Linked DNA regions of Arabidopsis thaliana. The protein of the gene in region 2 interacts with the protein of the main gene of each other region in a pairwise test. Each region holds a gene or a part of one and is shown on either strand. Other genes may lie near its edges.

Region 1 (8,070 bases), on a different chromosome or scaffold from region 2:
AAAACATAAAAAGAGGGGAAAAGAAAAGATAAAGGGAAAATCAAAAGGGATGAGGCAAAATAGAGAGTTTCAATAAAGATAAATTTGGGTGATGGTGACGGAATAATTCTTCGATGTTTTCGTTTTGACCATCTTTTCCTTTATTTCTCACTTTAATTTTCCTTTATTTCTCTCGCTGTTTATTCCCATAAAATTTTTAAAATTAACTAGAACAAAGCACAAAAATGGGCAATCTTCGAAATATACTAAAATTTTCTATTATAATTAACAAAATAAAAAAGAGAGGGAAACTGCTAATATCTGGAGTCCATTCTCTTGGAGAAGAGTAAAGTGGGCAAACAAAAAAAAAGGAACTGAGCTGATTCGATTCTCTTTGGGACTCCCATCCATGCATCACCTCTTTCATAGTTTCATTTTACTTTTATGTTTATTATTTTACAAGATTAAGTAATTAGCTTTTTTAACTGCAAGCATAACAAATAACAAAACCTTTATTACGGTCTCAAACGCTCAAAAATGTTTTTAAACATAGTAAAAGGTTTCGTTCAATACAATTTGAAAAAGGAAAAAACAAAAACAATTTTCTTACAAATAGATGGCCACCAACGATTAATTATTACCGTCAAACTTATAATTGGGATGACTCGGTGGTTTTGCGATGGCGTTTGTTCCAAAAGAGTGCCATATTGTTCATTTGTTCTTATATATGTTTTAATCCATAACACGTTTTGGATCAATGTTTTCAAGTAATCAAAGTGAAAGTAGAGAATATATCAATTGGTGAAAATTTTGAAATATCAATGTAATTCTTTTTAAGTGGATCCATTGATCAAGGAGGCCACTAAAATTTGCTCGAGGCTTGGTAGTGGGTTCATTTGTGTTTGATAAATACACTTTTTAGTACTCATCCCCTTTTTTTGTCTGACATCGTATATGTATATTGGTTACATCTAAATTTGTCACACTTGTGTAGCAGTGATAGTTGTCTCAGTGTGTCTATAGACTATAGTTAAATGTTAATTAGTAGTATTTATACAATACTAATTACATCATCTAAATATTTGCATATGATTCACACAAGGCAAATTTCCTTGGCTAATTGTCACACTATTTATGTGAAGGTGAGTAGTTAAAGCTAATAACCTCGAAGTTGCTTGGTTTATATGAGATCAAGTTTGGCTCTTGTAAGTGAAGATAATAATTTAAAGAGTATTTTAATCGTGATAATCTAAATGTTAGTTGATAGTTAATACGTCACGGAACATGTACCGACCGACGGCCGATTTCCATGATACAATAAAAAAATGAAAATTAGCAATCTCATAACATGCGACGACGATACTTATGGTGTTGCCACGTAGCAAGCATCTTCCTCTTAACCATGAGGTGTCGCAACCTCAGAGGACAACACGGACAAGACCGAGAAACCGCATACTAACGCTTGCAACGTAAAGCACAACACCCCTAAACTCCTATTTTTTTAATTTTCTTTTAACCTCAACACACCACGCAGCTATACACGTTTCAATGTGCTAATACGTGTCTTCTTCTCCGCCGACCAAGACACACTACAAATGTCCCGATGGTTTGGGGAGACAAATCACAGTTTCTACTACAACAACAAATACTTTTACGAAAAAAGCTTTTAAAACTTATCTAGTTTCGTTTGATACACATTTGAAGAAAGAAATGGCATCCAACCAACAGAGCTACAAAGCTGGTGAGACCAGAGGCAAGGCCCAGGTAATAAGAATATATTTTTGTGTATGTGTATACGTAAAACCACATTATATAAGCTCTAAGATGATTTGTCTGTGTAATACCAGGAGAAGACTGGACAAGCTATGGGAACGATGAGGGACAAGGCTGAGGAGGGCCGGGACAAGACTTCTCAAACGGCCCAAACAGCCCAACAGAAGGCCCATGAGACAGCCCAGTCAGCTAAAGATAAGACATCTCAAACTGCCCAAGCGGCTCAGCAGAAGGCCCATGAAACGGCCCAGTCAGCAAAAGAGAAGACATCTCAAACTGCCCAAACGGCACAGCAAAAGGCCCATGAGACGACGCAAGCAGCAAAAGAAAAGACATCTCAAGCTGGCGACAAAGCTCGCGAGGCCAAGGACAAGGCCGGGAGCTACTTATCGGAGACAGGCGAAGCCATAAAGAACAAGGCTCAAGACGCTGCTCAGTATACAAAGGAGACGGCTCAAGGTGCGGCACAGTACACAAAGGAGACGGCTGAAGCCGGTAGAGACAAGACGGGTGGATTCTTGAGCCAGACTGGTGAGCATGTTAAGCAAATGGCAATGGGTGCAGCTGATGCAGTGAAGCATACTTTTGGGATGGCTACTGAGGAAGAAGACAAAGAGCATTATCCAGGAAGTACTACTACCACTACTGCAACTACTCGAACCACTGATCCGACTCATCAGACTTATCAGAGGAAGTGATGAGAAAACAAAATTGAGAACGATATGAAAGTATCTTTGTGTTAGTTGGTCTTTTGAGTTTTGTGTTTGTGTTTTTGTAATTTCCGTTGTGTCTTTCTTTATGGTTGTGGTTCAGCTGTGTTTCTTGTTGTGACGGTGATCCTGGAGACTTCTAATTTCCAGCCAATAAGTTTAGATTTGATCCTGTTACAACTTATGTGTTCTCAAATTTCTATTTTTGTTACAATAAACAGTTATTAATACACATCATGGTCCACTTCGTATGTTGGTCATCAAGCATTAGCATTATACAGATATAGCTGCTAATCCAAACGGGTTTTACTAATCTTTCAATTTCTTTTATCAAAAATTTCAATAAAACATTTGTGTCTGCTTTTACGTTTTACGAATCGTTCAATTTCATAGATCTACTAAAATGAGAGAAGTAAACCAAAAAAATTGAATAGTAATTTATCTAAACCGAGCAAACCAAATAAATTTATCAAGACGTCAACGGACGTATACTTTGGTGACCATCCGAAACGACATCGTATAACATCTTAGGGTTATGAGTAATGACACGACGTCGTTCTCTGGGTCGGTCACTGGAGATGAAGAGAAGCGGTCGCGACATTGTAAAGATCTCTAGCTCCGTCCTTCTTCCTCGTAGCTACCCTCTCTAATCTTTTTTTCTCATTCCTGTTCTTGATAGTTTTCTAGACAGATTTCGATTAAACAAAACCGCGGAACACTTTGAAGAAATCTGCGTGATTTAGAGATGGCGGCTTCTTTATCGAGCAGACTTATAAAAGGAATCGCTAATCTCAAAGCTGTTCGTTCTAGCAGATTGGTTAGATTCTCTCATAACCCTTTTACTCAATTTTGATGTATCTAATGTTTGCTCAATAAAGTTTTCTCTTTTCCCATCTTGAATCACTTAAAAATTGCTCCTTTATATAACATTTGAGGTTCTGATTCTTTTGTTAGTTGAACCGGATTAGATAGTTACGTGAGCGTATGGTTTTGAATTATGTGAAAATGAATTTGTTTCCAATAGAAGATGGTATTGATGATCATTTGATAGTTGAATTTAACATGGAGAAGAATGATGTGGTTTTTGTTTGCAGACGTCTGCATCAGTCTACCAAAATGGGATGATGAGATTTTCCTCAACAGTGCCAAGTGATTCAGATACACATGATGATTTCAAGCCTACACAAAAAGTCCCTCCCGATTCTACGGACTCACTTAAAGATATCGTTGAGAATGTACACTCCAGCTTCTCTAGATTTGAAGTTGAATGTTTCTTTGTTAGGTGTTTGCTAATGCTGTTTTAGCTTTGGTGGTTGTGTAGGATGTGAAGGATAATCCTGTTATGATCTACATGAAAGGTGTCCCTGAATCTCCTCAGTGTGGGTTTAGCTCACTAGCCGTCAGAGTTTTGCAGCAATATAGTAAGTTTTGTTGAAATGTTGATTGAAACTGAAGAAGCCTTCTGTGAATTTTCTTTACTATTGGCGTTAGGCTCTGTGTTCTGATCTACTATCTTGTGATATCCTTCTTTAGATGTTCCTATCAGTTCTAGAAACATTCTAGAAGACCAAGAGTTGAAAAACGCTGTGAAATCCTTCAGGTGAGTATGTGGACACTTAATGAAAGTTTCATACAGAGAGTTGTATAATCTCATTCTCAAAGTTTTTTCATAAAGTTTGGCTTTGTTATTGAAGTTCGTTACCGTTCATTCCTTAATCTTTGACCTATATGATCTAGACCTCCCTTTGATTTTCAAGTCTTTATTTCTTTGCAGCCACTGGCCTACGTTTCCACAGATCTTCATTAAGGGAGAGTTCATTGGCGGCTCAGACATCATCCTTAACATGCACAAGGTTAGTTCCACTTAAAGCAGACCCTGTTTGACTTTTTTTTCCCCCGTTTCCATTGTGTTTGTTTAATCACAAGTCTCTTTTACTATTCTAGGAAGGTGAATTGGAGCAGAAGCTTAAAGACGTCTCCGGAAACCAAGATTGATCCAAAGTTTGGAAGTTATGCTGACGAGTGGAAGTTATTATGTTTTTGTTCTTTCTTTTCATAAGAATGTCTTTTCATGTACGGTAAAATAATGTCTCAGAAACTCAAAAATCTTTGGATTTCGTATGAATAAAAACTTTGGTAAACTAAGATAGCAAAATCAAAGAAGCCCAACGAGCCTTATTTATTTATTTTATTATTCATAATCAAGAATCGAACAGTAGAAAAGCATGAATAAATCACAAAACAGTAGAAACATGAGAGAACACCGTATACCCCAAGAAACCCCCCACCCCTTATATATATAATATAAATATTCTACACCATCGTATAATAGCTATAGAGATGCTGAGAAGATGCTTGTAAAGTTTAACGCGAACCCTCGAGACCAAGCCTTGAGACGAGCCAGTGAACCACCTCATCCATTTCTTTAGGAACCGTATAGTGACCAAGCCTACACAATCACATTAAAACCTCACAATCTCAGACTAAAACAACTAGATTGATAATGATAACTTTGGGATATAGGTTGAACAGTTACCCTTCATATGGTTTGAACATAGTTTGTCGGAATCCAGCCATGGCAAGTGAATGAGCAGATTTTTCTCCAAATCTATAAGGAACTACATCGTCCGCTGCAACCAAAAAACACATAAAGTGAATAAAATTCTAGATTCTCTTCGGTGATTTTATCTTGAAACAGTAAATCATATAATGATATATGTAAACATACAAGTTCCATGTGCAAGTAAGATCGGTATCGATGCAGCGCGCCTTGCAACCTCATTCGAACTTTCTATTTTGCTCCTTAAGCTCCTGCATTGTTATGTTTAAGCTTTCAATGTTAAGTCTCTGTGTTAACAAGTGACAAGAAAGGGTTGAAGACATATATTTATACCTCCAACCAGGAAGCCAACCGCTAAGTCCTACAGTAGCTCGTAGGTTTATAGTATAAGCATGTCCGGTTCCATAACGTCCAAGAGCGTAGCACGTCGTGGAGTAGAGAGCTATTGCTGCACCCATACTGAAACCTCCTATCCCAACTTTGACTGACACAAACCACAAATAACATTTTCAAGTTAAGCTAGAGATTATGATATATTATATCAAGACCTGTGACAAAGGAATGAAGATATATATAACTCATGGTTGGCTTACCATCTGTTGGCTCAGCAGATAATAGGTTAGCAATATGTGCAGCTGAAGCATCTAAGCCTTCTATATCATCATGAAGATCCTCAGAAATTTCTCCCACGTCAAACCCTGAGAGGAGCAAAGAAATTGGTTTTATTGGCAAACGCTTAAAATAATGTTTTGATGAAGTCTAGAGAAGCTAACTGAATGATCTTACAGGCAGTGCAAGGAAATCCACCGAGAAGCGAAACAGGACGCGAAGGAGCAGTTGGACAAATCCATTTGATCTGACAGAATACCATATATCTTTTATCAGAACCTTCACTAAGAATATTTAGTGATACAAAAAATTACTTCCAAGTTTGTTTCCATGGATCCTTACGTTTGGAAGAGGTAGGCTTTCCAATAGCTGAGACGAGCTGCAGAAAGAAACAGAGCCAAAGTGAGAAGTTGTTATCAAAGAACACGCCAAAATTCTACTTTCTAAAGCTCATTTTATTTGTAGTAGTCAATTAAACCAAAAAGTTAAAGCTTTTCATAACACATTTATACTTGAAACTGTTCAACTAACAGAGGAAAAGTGTTAAGTTTTGTCCTAAGAAGAGTTTGTTTTGATATCTATTAAAGTCATTTAGGCATTGTTTTGACAAGTATGACTTTAAGCTTTCAAAGCATAAAACTTTCTTTATTACTTGATTTTGTTCATAAAAACAAGGCAAGTGAGATAGTATTATAATACCTGGAGCCATTGTCTCCAAGACCGTGCAACCAAACAATAGTAGCTTGGTGCTTTCCTTTAGGCCTCACAACATAAGTCCTTCCAAACTCATAGCCCCTTGTACTTCTACTACCTACAAAAGATTTTGCCAGAAACATATATAAAGCAGAGTAATCACATAAGCACACAAGTGACACACTTAAGATAATACTAACATGAACCAAACAAGTAAGTGAGAAACAAACCAGAACCCATGCTTTGACGAGAATAGCTCATTGTTGTTGTTCAATGATCTTTTTTCACCACAATTTAGAGACTTTGTTGTGATATAGTAGTTAAAAGTTTGAAATACCAATGGAAAATATAAGAGAAGGTAAGGGAGGGGAAATGTGTATTTATAGAGCAAATTTGGAGGTGTGATGGTGAGAGGAAGGAATAAAAGAAAAGAAATGTGAATCTGAATCATTCACTATGGGATGTTAAATGTGTACAACAGCTACACAAAAAAAAAAACTATACTAGTCGTAGTCTAAGAGAAGGCATCCATGGAAAGAGACAATCAATTTTCTTCTCTTTTTCTCGTTATAAAAACAAAAGAAATAAATCTTTTTGGGAACACAAGGAATCAAAATCAAAACCAGAGCAGAGCTAGCGGCAAAACTACACAGAGGAGAGAGAGAGAAAGAGAGAATCAATGCCTTGTGGCAGTGGAGGAAAATAAAAACTCTACCGCGTAAAAGAATATATTATAGCATAACACAAGTATGTATATATATTACAAGAAACATGAGGGCATAATCCAAAATTGAAAAAGAAAGAAAAAATCTACTTGTTCAATCATTTGTTTAATGAAATATATATGAAAAACAAAAGTGAGATGATTGATGGATACCCATTAACCAGAAAGCTTAAAAAGTCTGAAACTTTACGAGAAAAAATAAAAGATTTAAAAATTTGCATTACACAATGTACAAAGGAAAAGGAATTACATATTTTATTTTAGGGTTCTTGGATTTGAGAAATCTGAGAGCACTGAGTGTAATGATGATGCGTAAGAAACATAAGTGACCAAGCTGGATTTTCATGTGGAGCATGCAGCAATAAACCAAAAAAGACTTTGATCTTTTCTCTATCTCCTTTCAACGCTTCTTTCATTACTCTGCCCTCTCTTGTTTGCCACTGTTGCTTTTTGTCCAGCAAAATTGGCTGACGATATCAAGCCCACTTATTTCACCTATTTCTCATTTTCTTCATGGTATATAGATTTTAAAAAAATGTACTGCGATTATTAGAGTATGTTTTAAAGCATCTGATAAGATGTAAATTTGCATGAAATTATTTGACCAGATCATCTAGTCTACTATTTTGCATTAATGTAGTTGTTGTGTTCAAATTATAGAAATAAAGAGACGAATATCAAGTGAACACTGAACAACGAACATGGTTACATTACATGTATATGCGTAATGATTGTCTTTTGTCTCCCCTTTTCTATTATACCACAAAGATCTTCATAGATTTTACGAAATGATTACTAATCTTCCGACATGATTAATTATTAATCATCCGTGAAGAAATATCAACTGCTAATAAGTTGGCTACTTGATTTCTAATTCATATTAATTGGCAATATTAGAGTAATTTATGATTATATAGATTACTTTTACAGAAATGTTATTTTATGATTTTAAATGTAATTTTTCGAAATTATTTCTCTGTTTTTGGGAAGTAATGATATTTTTCTTTTGCTTCTTATTAAAA
Region 2 (7,072 bases):
ATCAATCGATCGGAGTAGAAGATAAAGTCATGCTTTGTTGTTTTAGAGTCGCGGATTAGAGTGTGCATACCACGTATCTGCAAGCAGCGGCCAAAGGATCAGTCTTTTGGGTGACTAAACAAGAAAATGATTGTTGTTGAGTAGACGAGAAAAGGGGAATAAGTAAAACCTGAAAAGTTGATTGAATAACATAAAGATTTGGATAAATTTTACAGAGATCATGTTGACCGAGCTTCGTATGGATGTGTTGCACAATCAAATCAATAGCAACATGGTTATCACCACCTCGGGGAATTATTATATCTGCGTATTTCTTTGTTGGGAGTATGAAATCCTCAAATGCTGGCTTCACAAACTTTGAGTACTGCATAAGAGTTTCACACATGAAAACATAAATAAAGAAATTATTTGCAAAACAAGAATATACAGCCACACAAAACCTGGTCAAGAACAGTGGCAATATCTCTGCCCTTCTCAACAGTATCGCGTTTTATCCTTCTCGCTAGACGCACATCGGCATCTGCATAGATAACGCCATGATGTAAAATAAGAGACCAATGTGTTACCTTCATGAGTACATATACAAGTGCAGCGTCTCATATATGCTACGGATTTGACTACATAAGTGTTAACAGGTTTGGTATGGGAAAGACCTGCGTCTACAAATATCTTCATGTTCATCAAATCTCGCACCCGAGGGTCATGGAAAATGAGTATACCTTCCAGAATTATAACGTCAGAAGGATTCACCTGCAAATATATCATAAACAGAGAAATATTAGTATAAGCATGATTCTTATATAGGCTATGATGACAAGTTTATGTATCTGACAAACAAGAGTGCATGTAATTAGTATGGAATACACAAGAAAGCTAACCACTTGATCATGAGTTTGAGCTTCAGAAATTAGCAGAAAACTTTAAATGTCAGAAGTGACTAATTGACAAGTAAAGATTCTTACCCTTCTAGGTGGAAAAACATTGTTCTTGTAACTTTTGAAGTCATAATTAGGAATATCTACTGCTTGTCCTTTTCTTAACTTCTCCATGGAAGACAATAATTGCTCAGTATCGAAAGCGTCTACAAGACAAGGAAGCATATGACACACAATTCGTAGATTCAAAAGGCTAAGGGACACAGAACAGCGTGCATTAGATCAAAAGACCCATTAGTTTTTCAAAAACTTACTAACCAGGATGGTCAAAATTGTAATCATGAACTCTTACAAGCTCCACTTCATTTACATTATGGTAGAAAGAATCCTGCAAACAAAGATCAACCTCGGTGCATTATATATCGACTTACAAGAGCTTTAAAAAAATGGTTTATATTGTTGCATAATCATATCGAGGACAAGAATCACCTGATTTACAACAACAGCTCTCTGATCATGCAGTTGCTGCATAATCATATCACAGACAGTTGTTTTCCCGGATGCTGCACCTCCAGCAACTCCTGAAAACAACATTTTCTATTTAACATTTTCTGTTTCTAACCATCTTTGGTAAACTAAAATCCACCACGACTCTCACCGATCACAAAAGGTTGACCATGTTCTTCTTCCTCAGCCATTTGCTCTGGTCTATTTGAAGCTAAACCATCCATTTGATGAAATCCTGAGAAATGAACCTTTGAGGATGTCTCTATTATATTCACATCCGACTTTGAAGCCATTCCTACAACACAAATATGCAAATCTAAATTCACATGAAATATGCCAATAAGGAAAGCAAAGCTACCTTTGTTGTCACCATCCAGGAACAAAAAGGAACACTTTCCAGTCAAAAAACAATTCCTCAAAAGAATCAAACTTTTTAGTGATATTAGTTAGATGCCACAAGTGCCAATGCCGTGATACCCATTTTCTCAAATCCAGTATAACACACAAAACAATCAACCAATCATGATAGGCCACCAGATAATAGTAACGCCAATCCTAAACATGAAACCGTAACTTTTTCCCGGGTAAAAAAGGGAAAGAACAAAAAGAAAACAGAGATCAGAAGAGAAGAAAGCTAGATTTTTTTAGATCAATACATGCAAAAGAATTATAAGAAACGTTTCATCATCATATAAACCAATATAAACCGAATCAACATGAAGATAAAAACTCACGAAAAAAGAAAGAGGGATTGAATAAGCTTCGAGATCACCGATTAGATATAGCTAACAAAAGAGCTTCCAAGTTCCAGATAAAGAATCTAAACATATAAAGAGAGAGAGACACGAGCATTGCCTGTTAAACTCGATGCACAGACAAAAACTGGACTTATTAAAAATAAAATATATTGATAACGTATATAAGTGTATGTATATGCGTTGAAAGAGAGAAAAGAATGAAGGGAGGATGCAGCGGCGGTGACGGGTTTTTGCGGAAACCGGAAAGTGGTTTTTTTGGTTTTACGAAAGTACCCTTCCCACTGAGGGACGTGGTAGTGGCAATTCTCGTAAATGTGAGAGTGTTTGAGTCCCTAAAGTAGAGAGTGTGATCAAGGATCCACGTCAGATCCGAATAGGATGTAGGACCTACTATCGAAAGCTGCAGCTAAAAACGCAGTGATATAGATGCGTGTGGTCGAATGCAATCTTACGTTACTGCAAAATTATTTATTTTATACTATTTTGGATTACGTCTACAATAATTTGTTTATTCTGTTTTTATCCATAACATTTTAACTTCATATGTTTCCTCCAAATCTATTTACCTGAATTTTGTTTTTCGAAATATATAATTTACCAATTAATATTAGTTTTCTCAACATCTACACTACCAAAGGATGCTACAATGTAAAATATTATACACAGGAACAAAATTAGCATATTTACAATTTAATCTGCACGATTGTTTGTCTATAAAATTTGAAGGATATAATCAATTTCTTCTTTTAGTTCCGTAGATTTTTTTATGATTCATTAATGAAGTTTAGACCAGAGATTAGGATCCTTAAAAAATTTGGATGAGCAGCTTAGAACCACTTTAAAAATTAATTTTGTACATCCAAAATTATCGAAACAAACTATTACCCAAATCAAAGATATTGCCTTTACTTCAAAAACTGATTACAGTTTTGGGTATGTTTTAGCACTATACCATCTTATTCTTATCATACCATGATCTTCTTGGAGAATTCATCTAATACTATTTTGGTCATAAATCAACATTTCAAAAAATATCCACGTTACAATTGTAAATTGTTATTACTTAATTATGTCTTAAGTTTTTTAACCACACCAAAAAAATATTAAATCATATACACAAACATTTTTCGAATGTATTTGTTATTTGATTTCTCACACAAATGTGAAGAAGTATGAGGGTGTTTCGATACACTTTTAGAGTTTGTTTGTTTTTTTGTAATTTTTTTCTCACAAATGTGGGGTGATGTTATTATATTTGAAAATTTGTGGACCTTAATGCAAATAACGCCTCTAATAGTAGATTCGTGAAGATGATAAGCTGACAAAACGACAGCGTCTAATATAGTTTCGAGTTTCTTCGACAGTGGCAATGTTTTCATCTTCGATTAGGTTAATCGTATCTGGGTTCCACCGGACTCAACCCCTAAAATCGCCGGTAAATTCTCCGAGCGTCTTCATCTCCGTACCTAAATTCTTCAACTCTGAGTCAAAATCGACGGGAACTGGTTCAAGATCCGTAGCAATGAGCAGCGTTGAGAAAACCGGGTCGGATTCTGGAGCAATAGAGAATCGAGCGAGCAGGATGAGAGAGAAGCTTCAAAAAGAGCTCGAACCAGTGGAGTTAGTGATCGAAGATGTTTCGTATCAGCACGCTGGTCACGCCGGAATGAAAGGTAGAACCGACGATGAGACGCATTTCAATGTGAAGATCGTTTCTAAAGGATTCGAGGGAATGAATTTGGTGAAGAGACACAGGTTGGTCTATCATTTGCTCCGGGAAGAGTTGGATACTGGATTGCACGCTCTTTCTATCGTCTCCAAGACGCCGTCTGAGTCTCCTTCTAAAGACTAGTGTACTGGTACTGTTTAATGTATCTTCTGTTTCTGTTATCAGAGTTTCTCATCAAACTCTGTTCGATTCAAAGATTGAATTTTTACCATCAAAGTGCTCTGTTTTGGAATTTATTGCGGAGCCAAAGTCTTCATTTTTACATACGCTTGAGGTTGTGTGTTGGTGTTTCTGGAATTGTGTGTTGGAACAAAGACACTTGCTTTTAGTTCAATTCGAGTTCTGTCTTTTCTAGCATTCAAAACTATAATGGTCATAGCTTGATGAATTGAATTAAGGCTCCATTTAGTTGAAAGTCCAATCAATGGTCATGTGTTTGAATTCTCAAAGGAAGCTCGATTGTGCCGTGTTTGTTAGCTTGGAGCCAAAAGGGTTGTTTTTCCATGTTTCTGTCTCTTTCTTCTTCAGATTATTCTCCCATTGTCATCAATGGCGTTTGCGTCTTCTAATCGCTAACGCTAGAAACAAAACGCCTTTTCCAATAGTCCATGTCACCTTCCTTTAGCAACAAATATATGTACTTTATGGGCTTAAACCAAATCTAATCAGTGATCACCTTTTTCTTTTGTGGGTAAAGTGAATCGTCATTTCCATTGTCTGGAGAAGCTAAACCGTCCCTCTTCTATACATCAACAGAGCAAGTTACGTTAGTATATGTCCGAAGATAAATAAAACGAAAAAAAAACAACTTTCCAAACTATCATCATTTTCACTACATTGGCGATGAGGGAGCTCTCGGAGCTTAACAGAGACAGAGACGGTGATGAAGAAGTGTGGGTCAAACACTATTCATCCAAGCACCAGATACTTCTCGTAGGCGAAGGAGATTTCTCCTTCTCTTGCAGCTTAGCCACTTGCTTCGGCTCTGCTTCCAATATCTATGCTTCCTCTCTCGATTCATACGGTAACACTTGGTTTACTTACATTGTAAGAGTTATTAAGGTTTTGATTTCGTTATCACTTCCATTTCTGTGATCACTTACTAAGTTTTTGAACTTCCGGTGAATGATTTGATTATTCAAGATTTACACTGTTTTACTCTCTGTTTATAGATTATAAACCTGTTAACAAAGGTTGCAGCTTTAAGCTCGATTTCCTCAGTTGTTGCATGTCTTTTATGGTAATTAAACCAGATGATGTGGTTAGAAAATACAAGAATGCAAGATCAAATCTTGAAACATTGAAGAGACTTGGAGCTTTCCTTTTACATGGAGTTGATGCTACCACACTGCATTTTCATCCTGATCTTCGTTATAGAAGATTCGATCGTGTCATCTTCAACTTCCCGCACACCGGTTTCCACAGGAAAGAGTCTGATCCCTGTCAAATACAGTAAGTTCAACATTTTGAAATTACAAACACTTTCTTCTCGCAGTTGAATGTGTAGACCAGCTGCTGCAACTTTGAGGAATTTGTTTAAAGATTTTTTACATGGTGCAAGCCATATGCTAAGAGCTGATGGAGAAGTTCATGTCTCTCACAAAAACAAAGCACCTTTTTGTTATTGGAATCTAGAGGAGCTTGCTAGCAGATGCTTTCTTGTGTTGATTCAGCTTGAGGCGTTCGAGAAGAGAAACTACCCTGGTTATGAGAATAAGAGAGGAGATGGGTCTAGATGTGACCAACCTTTCCTTTTGGGAGAGTGCAGTACTTTCAAGTTCAGATTCTCTCGTGTCGCCAAGGAACTTTATGCAGAGAAGGTGAAGGAAGTAGAATCAAAGTGTCCCCGAGAGTTATCAACTCGGGCGATGAATAAGAAACATGCCCGTTTTGAAGACAGCTCGATACATCTTGAACTGCCAAGATGCACTAAACGGTTCAAAAGAGTTTCTCTTGAAATGCATAATGGAGAATTACAACGAATGGTGATACGGACGAGGTTTCCTCATCACTACACTAAAGAATCATCAGAAACACGCCGCCTACTTTGTCAAGACTATGCAGTACAAGCTAGCCAAGAACCGTTCCCTGAACGCTCTCTCCGATTCAGAGGAGTTTCTCATGGAATTCATAACGGGAGAGTACGAAAAATGTTAATACGGAACAGCACTGGAGAATCAAGAAAACTAAGAATGAGGAGGCAGAGGAACCTTAAAATCAGGTAAATATATCCTTGATAGTTGCTTATATTATGAAATAAACATGCTAAATCGATATTGAAATTTTGTAGGTGACTCATATCCAATAAACTTCAAGGAGCTTCTGAGGATAACTTTGATGGAAAGAAGATGACTGAAACTTGGACTCACTAACAAAGCTGCATTCTATGTTCTCTTTTGTTTATTAGGCTGATTACTGACAGCTCAAAACCGCAATGCTCTATATGGAGATAATCTTTTGTTGTAATTGTGTGTATTTATCTGGATGTTTTCCTTTTGGAGATTATGTAGTTGAAATGATTGTGAGTCTCGCGACTTGCATTGTGGAGAAAAATCCCATAAATCTCTTGTGATATATCCAACTAAGACCCTACGCCAGAAGGTTTGGTAGGACGCATTCTTAACGTAATACAGTATTCGGAGTAACTTGAAAATGTTATTGTAACCAATTCTTGTAGTCTGTAGACTATTATATACTAAGCTTAACCACTATTCCGAGTTACATTGGAACAACTCATAGGGTTTTGAATGGAGGTTGGGTACAAAACGAACTAAAACATGAGCGGACTAAAGTATCATATTTTTGGGGCGGGCACTAACACACACAACCTATATACAGAACGCATTAGCTTAATCAACAGAATCAATTTTGTGATGGCCTTTTGTTTTGGTTTCGCTAGATGAGAAACTGAACCGTCTCTCTTCTTAAATACAATAACGTTACTTTTGTTATTTTGAAAATTGAAAATTGAAAATAAAACCTTCCAAAGTAGCATCCTTTATCGCTGCAATGGCGATGAGAGAGCTCTCGCAGCTTAACAGAGACAGCGACGGTGATGAAGAAGTATGGGTCAAACACTATTCATCCAACCATCAGATACTTCTCGTCGGCGAAGGAGATTTCTCATTCTCTCACAGCTTAGCCACTCTCTTCGGCTCTGCTTCCAATATCTGCGCTTCCTCTCTCGATTCATACGGTAACAC
Region 3 (8,538 bases), on a different chromosome or scaffold from region 2:
ACAGGTTCGTTTAGTCTTAAAAATGTAATATGTAGAAACTGTGAGAGCACAAAAAAACTCATGGAAGAGCCAATTGCAGTTTGTTCTTCCTATCACATGGTCTTATGGAAAAAAGTATGGAGTAACGCTCGAGCAGGTAACTTCTTGGTGGAGTGATAGGCCTTCCAAACTCGCTGGACTACACTCTAAGGTTCGTTATTATAAAAAAAAACGCAGCTTCAGTATTCTCTTTTTTGTCCATACACAGCACACTGGCATAATATAGACGTGTTTTTATTAGGATTCGGGGTCCATTTATCGCAGCTTATAAGTAATGGTTTAATTATAGGGAGCGGTTACGGTTGGAAAACACGCAGATCTTGTTGTGTGGGAACCTGAAGCCGAATTTGATGTAGATGAAGATCATCCAATTCACTTCAAACACCCTGTAAGTACACAGTTTTTTCTAGAAAGATAGCTAATGGTTAAGCTCGAATAACACGAATGTGTAATCTTTATGTTATGTTTGCTTCTTGTGGTGTACAATAGAGTATCTCAGCTTATTTGGGAAGAAGATTATCAGGCAAAGTGGTTTCGACATTTGTGAGAGGGAACTTGGTTTTTGGAGAAGGCAAGCATGCTTCTGATGCTTGCGGGTCTCTGCAACTTGCAACTACTTAACTTAAAAAGGGATTTAAAAGATCTTGATCTGCACCATTTAAACAAATGTAAATATGCGATTAAGAGTTGCTCTCATGTTGCAAGATGGTTGATGTAATGAGTGAGTCTTTTTTGCCAATTGTAAGTTTAAGACTCTCTAAATCTTGTTGTTGGCTTTAAGGTTAGTGGACTCATGTATATATTGTTGATGCAAATAATTTATATCGCTTAAGTAAATGATGTATATATTGTTGATGCAAATAATTTAAAAGTATACATAATATTTGCATTGCTTGTTGTAACTAATGTTAATTTGAGTCAACTAAAAAAAAAGATGTTATCTTTTTAAATCACTTTTTGTAAGTGTTCTAAGTATTTGCATCAGTTTATCAAAATCATATATATGAAAGTTGGTCAAAATCATATATATTTGTCATGTGTCTATTAAATAATTAATGTAAGCTCTTCAACTTCTAATTTATAGGTTAATGATACATTTATTATTTATTTTTATATTATTTTATTTTACATATTTAATGTACTATTACTAAATTTATTTTAATATTACATGATTTTTCAATAAAACCATTTTAATAGTTTTTTCATACTCGAATATTTTTTTTGTAATCCAAACTCAAAGTATGAGTATATAATAATCATGGATTAGTTAGTGATTTGAGTAGGTTATTCTCTTAAATTGATATTTATATAATAAATCACCGAGGGTGTAGAATACGTACAAACCTCCATCATTTCGTCTGAACCCTCATTTTGCGCCGATTCTGTCAACAATGGTTGGAGGAAGAGGAAAACCTGGAGGAAAGGGAAGACGCAGTGTGAAGAAACAGGAAGAGAAAGAAGTTGAACGTGGTAGAGATGAGTTTTTATCAAAATCAAAAACTCCTCATCCAAAAGGATTTCCTCCAATGCAAGATCTAAGCACCAACGTGGTCACTAATAGAGGTGGATTGCAGCCTATGAAGGTAATGTAGTAGTATATTGTTCGCTTTTTGTTAATTGTTTTCGGATCAGTATACTTTTTTTTCTTTTTTCTTAAGGAATTGTGGGATGTAGAATATGTTCACATCCCTAAGAAATTGAGCTTGAAAACGGTTCTTGACAATATGAAACAAACTATGGCTCAACGTGGGTTCTACATCCGATCTGTAGATGCTTATGTTCGGAAAAGGTTTCTCACCGAGAACAAACCCCTTATTAAACGTCTTCGCCGATCAGACGTGAACATAATTGAATCACAAGAATACCCAGAGGAATATCTAGGTAAGACCACGTTATATTTATCAAAGTTTTGGTAACCTTAATGACGTCATTAAAGAGTTTTGTTTTTGATTAAATTTTTCTAATGGCATTATCATGTAATTAATTACAAAAATAAAGGTTACATTTAAAATGTACTTCCCAAATAATATAGTAGGATAATCGATGTTAATTAAATAAAATGACTTTCAATTAATTGTTTTTAAAAAGTATTATGTAATTTCATTAATTAATATGAAGGCAAACTTTGCATACTAAGTTTTATATTTTTTTACACCACCAAAAAACCAAGGTCACTATATGTAAGAAAACTATGAAACCTCTTTTTTTGTGGGAGAAATGTAGGATTTTGACAAATTAAGTAAACATTTACATCACATTTTATAGTCGATGATTAGTCGTTAACTAGTATCAGTTTCCATTGATGTAAATTTTGTATCATTTTAAATAGTGATGTTACACAAAAATTAATAGATGCATCAATTATCTAAATGATGTAAGCTTATATATTATATCATTTAAAAAAAAAGATAGTATAATAAAATAACTAAAAATACAAATGCTAAAATAATTGTGGATTTTTAATATAACAGAATTAAACAATTCCACACATACAAAACAAAGGAGAAAAAAAGAATTGTAACCTAATTCTTAGACTGTTTTATGAGAATCCAATTCGATGAGGATTGATATATACAATTCCTCTAATTAGTATTAATTTTAGAAAGAAAAAAATAGGATTAAGATTTTATTAGTCAAACTTACTTTTAGTAGTTTTAATTTAAATGTATCTAATATTTTTCAAAATTATTTTATTTTTAAAGATTGTTATCACCTAGAATTTTAACATTTTTACCTTACTTAATTTCCAATTTTTTTTTCCTTCCGCTGACATATATAATTTTACTATTTTTATAAAAAGAAATTACATAAGTGAGCAATTTTAGCATCACATTGGGCACACAAAAACCCTAATTGTATCGTTAGGTCCTTTTATTTTGTTATATTTACATAAATCTCCTTTCTTTCTCCAGCAACAGAGTGTATTCTGCTCGATAATAAATTGGTAAATCACAACACAAAAAAAAAGTGTTAAGAGATCCTTCTCCCTCTTCGAAGATGAGCGGTACGGTGAAGGATATCGTTTCAAAGGCGGAGCTTGATAACTTGCGCCAGAGCGGCGCACCAGTCGTGCTTCACTTCTGGGCTTCTTGGTGTGATGCTTCGAAGCAGATGGATCAAGTTTTCTCTCATCTCGCTACTGATTTCCCTCGTGCTCACTTCTTTAGGGTTCGTCTCTGTTCTCTTGACCAATTCAAAATTTTATCACTTTCAATGAGGTTTTTGACTGTTATTGGTTTTATCTTCTTAGGTTGAAGCTGAGGAACATCCTGAGATATCTGAGGCTTACTCTGTTGCTGCTGTGCCTTATTTCGTCTTCTTCAAGGTAAAGTTACGTTTTTTTTGTTCCCTATGATTTGATCAAAACTTAGGATTTAGGGTTTTTGTTTTTGCTTAAAGTTGTTTGTCTAATTTGGTAGAAGAAGAAGACATTGATGAAGTCATACTTATTGATTCTTTATGTTGCTTTGTTTGGTTGCAATTTTCTGTCTTTATAGCATTGAGAGTGTGTTCAAAAGTTTGAATCTTTGTCCCTATGTTTTGATCGAAAGTTTAGGATTTAGGGTTTTTGTTTTGATTAGTTTGCGTCTCTGTTAGATTACTGAAAGCTGTTTATCTAATCAGGTAGTAGAAGAAGATGGTTCGCCTATCCATTTAGCTCCAGACTTATTGATTCTTTGTTTTAATTGGTTGGTTGCAATTTTCTGTCTTTATAGGATTGAGAGTGTGTTCAAAGCTTGAATCTTTGTCACTGCACTGTAATGATTGTTCTGAAAGTTGTTACTTTCTTCTGACTGTGAATTCGTTTTCTTATTGAAGGATGGTAAAACTGTGGATACACTTGAGGGTGCAGATCCATCAAGTTTAGCTAATAAGGTTGGCAAAGTTGCTGGTTCTAGTACTTCTGCGGAGCCTGCTGCTCCTGCAAGCTTAGGGTTGGCTGCTGGGCCAACGATTCTTGAAACTGTGAAGGAGAATGCGAAAGCTTCTTTACAAGACCGAGCTCAGCCTGTATCTACCGCCGATGCTCTCAAGAGCCGTTTGGAAAAGCTCACTAATTCTCACCCTGTCATGTTATTCATGAAAGGTATTCCTGAAGAGCCTAGGTGTGGGTTTAGCAGGAAAGTAGTTGACATTTTGAAAGAGGTTAACGTTGATTTTGGAAGTTTTGACATACTATCGGATAACGAAGTGCGAGAGGGTTTGAAGAAATTCTCTAACTGGCCAACGTTTCCTCAGCTGTACTGCAACGGAGAGCTTCTTGGTGGAGCTGATATCGCAATAGCGATGCACGAGAGCGGTGAACTAAAAGATGCTTTCAAAGATCTTGGGATCACGACAGTTGGTTCAAAAGAAAGTCAGGATGAAGCTGGAAAAGGAGGAGGGGTTAGTTCAGGAAACACAGGCTTAAGTGAGACCCTCCGAGCTCGGCTCGAAGGTCTGGTCAATTCCAAACCAGTTATGCTGTTCATGAAAGGAAGACCAGAAGAACCAAAGTGTGGGTTCAGTGGGAAAGTGGTTGAAATCCTCAACCAAGAAAAAATCGAGTTTGGGAGTTTCGATATCCTCTTAGATGACGAAGTTCGCCAAGGCCTTAAAGTGTATTCAAACTGGTCAAGCTATCCTCAGCTTTACGTGAAAGGCGAGCTTATGGGTGGATCAGACATTGTCTTGGAGATGCAAAAGAGCGGTGAGCTGAAAAAGGTCTTGACCGAGAAAGGGATCACTGGAGAACAGAGTCTTGAAGATAGATTGAAGGCACTGATCAATTCCTCGGAAGTAATGCTATTCATGAAAGGTTCACCAGATGAACCGAAATGCGGATTTAGCTCCAAAGTTGTGAAAGCATTGAGAGGAGAAAACGTGAGTTTCGGATCGTTTGATATCTTGACTGATGAAGAAGTAAGGCAAGGGATTAAGAATTTCTCAAACTGGCCAACTTTTCCTCAGCTATACTACAAAGGTGAGTTAATTGGAGGATGTGATATCATTATGGAGCTAAGTGAGAGTGGTGATCTCAAAGCAACTCTATCCGAGTAAGTAATATATACAAGTCTCTGTCTGCTGGTTTGCCTTGGTGAGAGAGAACATTTCAGTTATGGTAATAATATGTTTTAGGTGTTACAAACATTGATATTGTTGCTTCTCAAGCTTTGTCTTGTTATTTCTATTGCTGAGTCTATTAGATTCATAACTATTTTTCTCTCTTTGTATCAACATAATCTTTATTTATGGTTATCTTGACCACATTTGCTTTTAGACTGAGTAACAAAACAAAGAGTGGTTTAAACAAAGAAAGCTTGATCCGACGGCTAGGATTAACACCAATCTTTCTATGTTACAGAGTTTCTTAAGATCCGACGGCTGGGATTTTGTGTGATTAAACTCAAATTTCTTAGAATCAAACCGAATGGAAATCATTTGTTTAGAGTTTAGACCAAACTGCAATCGAGCATTAACCGAGACTTTGTACATTTAAACAAGATTTAAACCAAAAGTCATCATAATTTTAAAATTGATACTGATATTGACAATTAGTTAAATATTAAACTAAAATGGTTTTGGTTTTACATTTCAATGACTTTTAGCCAAAACCGAACCATAATTTTACCAAACCAAATTTAACATTCTCCAAACCAAATAAAGAACCTGTATAAACCGAGCGGACACTTAAACCGGAAAATAAAATTAAAATTCGGACAAAGAAATTTCGTTAAACCCTAAACCCCAAAGGTCTTGTTTGCTGTATCTCCTCCATCGCTCCTGCGCCGCGTTTTCTCTCTCAAGCTCTTAAAAAACCTTTCTTTGATTTGATAATCCTAAAATCGTTTTTCCGAGGAAACCCTAATTTCTTGTTCGAACTCGAAAGATGGGAATTTTCGAACCGTTTAGAGCAATAGGTTACATAACGAGTACGGTTCCGTTCTCCGTCCAGCGATTGGGTACCGAGACTTTCGTCACCGTCAGCGTCGGCAAAGCTTTCCAGATTTATAATGTAACGCTCCCAATCTTCATAGTTTCACTTGCGTGTTCTTTATTCATTCGATTCTGTTGTTAATTTGGTTCTCTTGTTGCAGTGTGCCAAGCTCAATCTAGTCATAATCAGTAAGTTTTTCCTTCTTCTGAAACCTAAAGTTTTGTCCTTTCAATCATTCTCTTACTCAAATTCATGCATTTAGAATTGGGTTTTGTCTATGCAGTGTAAATTTTCTTATAATCTAATTTGTGTTATCTTAAAGGTCCTCAGCTTCCAAAGAAAATTAGAGCTTTAGCTTCTTACCGAGACTACACATTTGTTGCGTTTGGCAATGAAATCGCTGTCTTTAGGCGTGCTCATCAGGTATATCTCATTGTAACTATAGTTAAGTTGCTGCTTTTTTTATATCTATGAGTACTTTGTTTATAGTTGGAATTCTTGTGGGTATATCTATAGGTAGCAACTTGGAGCAAACATGTTGCTAAAGTTGATCTTCTACTGGTGTTTGGAGAACATGTGCTTAGTCTTGACGTGGAAGGAAATATGTTCATATGGGCATTCAAAGGAATCGAAGAACATCTAGCTCCAATTGGAAATCTTCAGCTTACTGGAAAGTTTACCCCTACCTCTATTGTTCACCCAGATACCTATCTCAACAAGGTGAGTCATACTTGGTTCAGGATTTCAGTTTTTTTTCCCCTGGTGTCTTCTGTTGACAAGCCTTTCTAACTCTTTGCATGTTTCTCTTACTTGGAACCACATTGGTAGGTTCTTGTAGGGAGCCAAGAGGGTCCGCTGCAGCTATGGAATATTAATACTAAGAAGATGCTCTATCAGTTTAAGGGTTGGGGTTCATCTGTCACCAGTTGTGTTTCATCCCCTGCCCTGGATGTTGTTGCAATTGGTTGTGCTGATGGAAAGATCCATGTACATAACATAAAATTGGACGAAGAGATCGTAACATTTGAACATGCCTCGCGAGGTGCTGTTACTGCTTTGTCTTTCAGTACAGGTAAACACCTAAGCCCTGTAGTTCTATTTGTAAAATCTTTGAGCGCTTCTTGGTTTTATTACCTTTTAAATCTAATTTCGTAGCGGATAATAGTTTATCAATCTTTTCTTGCTGATAGATATCCTATGAGTGTAGTGACCAAAAATAATTTCGTCCATTTGTCTTTAAGTGGAGCTAAATATTTATTTTTCCATTACATAGCTTTACCATCTATGCACCCATTGTTTCATGAATTAGAATTGTCCATACATGTTTCAGGCTCAAGAGATCCATTAGTGTAGGTTGTAATTTTACTAGTAACTTTTGGTAGTAACCGTTCTATAGCTAATGGAAGTTCGATACTTTCCAGTTCTAACATGTGTTGTTTATCCTGTCATGTTAGATGGACGTCCCCTTCTTGCGTCTGGAGGTTCCTTTGGTGTCATAAGCATCTGGAATCTTAACAAAAAAAGGCTTCAGTCAGTCATTAGGGATGCACATGACAGTTCTATAATCTCATTGAACTTTTTAGCCAATGAGCCGGTGCTAATGAGTGCATCAGCAGATAACTCACTTAAAGTAAGCTAAGATTCCTCTTACCCGTTGAACCTATTTGCATCCACTTTGCCACATATAATATTTGTTTTATGCCTCGTTCCTGTAGATGTGGATTTTTGACACAAATGATGGTGATCCTCGCCTATTACGCTTCCGATCTGGGCATAGTGCTCCTCCTCTATGTATCAGGTAATTAGCTTGACGTCCACATCATACTGAATTATCTGATTGCTTCCATTTAGCTTTTCTTTCGTTATTGTGAGACTTTATACATTTTGGTGTGTAAGTAGCATTTATGATCCCTATTCGTTGTTAAAGTAATTCCATTTATGATCCCTGCCAGTTGACTATCTGTGTAGTGATGAATATTTGTGTTTCTTAATAAGAGTATTTACTTCATGGTGGCTATATCGAGGGCATGCCAATAAAGGGTCTCTTAATCATATCTGACTTCTACTTGTGGTAGGTTCTACTCTAATGGACGGCACATTTTGTCTGCTGGCCAGGATCGTGCCTTCCGCCTGTTCTCTGTCATCCAGGTAAGATACGATACAGATTTAGTAACCAATTCTATATCGAGATTTAATACAACTAACTAGCATATTGATAGTCTGTAACTTTTGAGCTATATTGTAGACATTGACTATTCATTTGTCACTTTACAATCACAAATGTTAGGAAATTAGTCTTCCTTGGGCATTGAACAGATAATCATAAAAGATTGTTGAGTTCATTTTTGTCATATTAATTAATTAATTAGCAATCATTTTCCTCATCATGTACTGTTTAGACGCAAAGTTTAGTTTTTCTTATTCCGTCTTTCATTCGCCATATCTTACTGTTATTTTGATGGGTATTTTTTCACCGACCTGTTTGTTTGATTTTTTCATGAATCTGATTGTTCTCTTAAATGTTGAGTTATTGTTTCTTAATTTGTGGTCTGTATTGTTACTAAAGATCTGATGTCCATTGA

Evidence for each region.
Region 1: the proteins of AT1G55805 (region 2) and GRX4 interact in a two-hybrid assay, tested with the Arabidopsis thaliana proteins (one study listed by BioGRID).
Region 3: the proteins of AT1G55805 (region 2) and GRXS17 interact in a two-hybrid assay, tested with the Arabidopsis thaliana proteins (one study listed by BioGRID).

What each region holds. Positions count from the first base shown.
Region 1 is NC_003074.8:5,304,521-5,312,590, reverse strand, and holds GRX4 (glutaredoxin 4), read left to right. Parts: upstream 1-2,966; 5' UTR 2,967-3,207; coding exon 3,208-3,279; intron 3,280-3,556; coding exon 3,557-3,697; intron 3,698-3,783; coding exon 3,784-3,883; intron 3,884-3,995; coding exon 3,996-4,062; intron 4,063-4,236; coding exon 4,237-4,315; intron 4,316-4,406; coding exon 4,407-4,457; 3' UTR 4,458-4,826; downstream 4,827-8,070. Other genes in the region: AT3G15670 (Late embryogenesis abundant protein (LEA) family protein), read left to right, coding at 1,690-1,743, 1,827-2,450; AT3G15650 (alpha/beta-Hydrolases superfamily protein), read right to left, coding at 4,827-4,911, 4,999-5,092, 5,191-5,273, 5,356-5,506, 5,616-5,720, 5,809-5,878, 5,974-6,067, 6,331-6,442 and 1 more.
Region 2 is NC_003070.9:20,855,876-20,862,947, reverse strand, and holds AT1G55805 (BolA-like family protein), read left to right. Parts: upstream 1-3,464; 5' UTR 3,465-3,509; coding exon 3,510-3,992; 3' UTR 3,993-4,338; downstream 4,339-7,072. Other genes in the region: UKL3 (uridine kinase-like 3), read right to left, coding at 1-77, 170-364, 441-520, 654-750, 963-1,081, 1,194-1,263, 1,365-1,456, 1,534-1,675; AT1G55803 (ferredoxin-fold anticodon-binding domain protein), read left to right, coding at 4,713-4,893, 5,123-5,325; AT1G55800 (uncharacterized protein), read left to right, coding at 5,369-6,090, 6,160-6,163; AT1G55790 (ferredoxin-fold anticodon-binding domain protein), read left to right, coding at 6,879-7,065. UniProt on the Arabidopsis thaliana protein: May act either alone or in interaction with glutaredoxin as a redox-regulated transcriptional regulator, or as a factor regulating Fe-S cluster biogenesis. The glutaredoxin-BOLA1 heterodimers bind a labile, oxygen sensitive iron-sulfur cluster.
Region 3 is NC_003075.7:2,514,423-2,522,960, reverse strand, and holds GRXS17 (thioredoxin family protein), read left to right. Parts: upstream 1-2,898; 5' UTR 2,899-3,036; coding exon 3,037-3,207; intron 3,208-3,289; coding exon 3,290-3,364; intron 3,365-3,858; coding exon 3,859-5,079; 3' UTR 5,080-5,365; downstream 5,366-8,538. Other genes in the region: ALN (allantoinase), read left to right, coding at 1-4, 80-190, 329-427, 529-660; AT4G04940 (transducin family protein / WD-40 repeat family protein), read left to right, coding at 5,909-6,034, 6,117-6,144, 6,279-6,379, 6,473-6,676, 6,785-7,028, 7,411-7,586, 7,672-7,754, 8,032-8,104. UniProt on the Arabidopsis thaliana protein: May only reduce GSH-thiol disulfides, but not protein disulfides. Participates probably to the maturation of iron-sulfur proteins and to the regulation of the redox state of the BOLA proteins.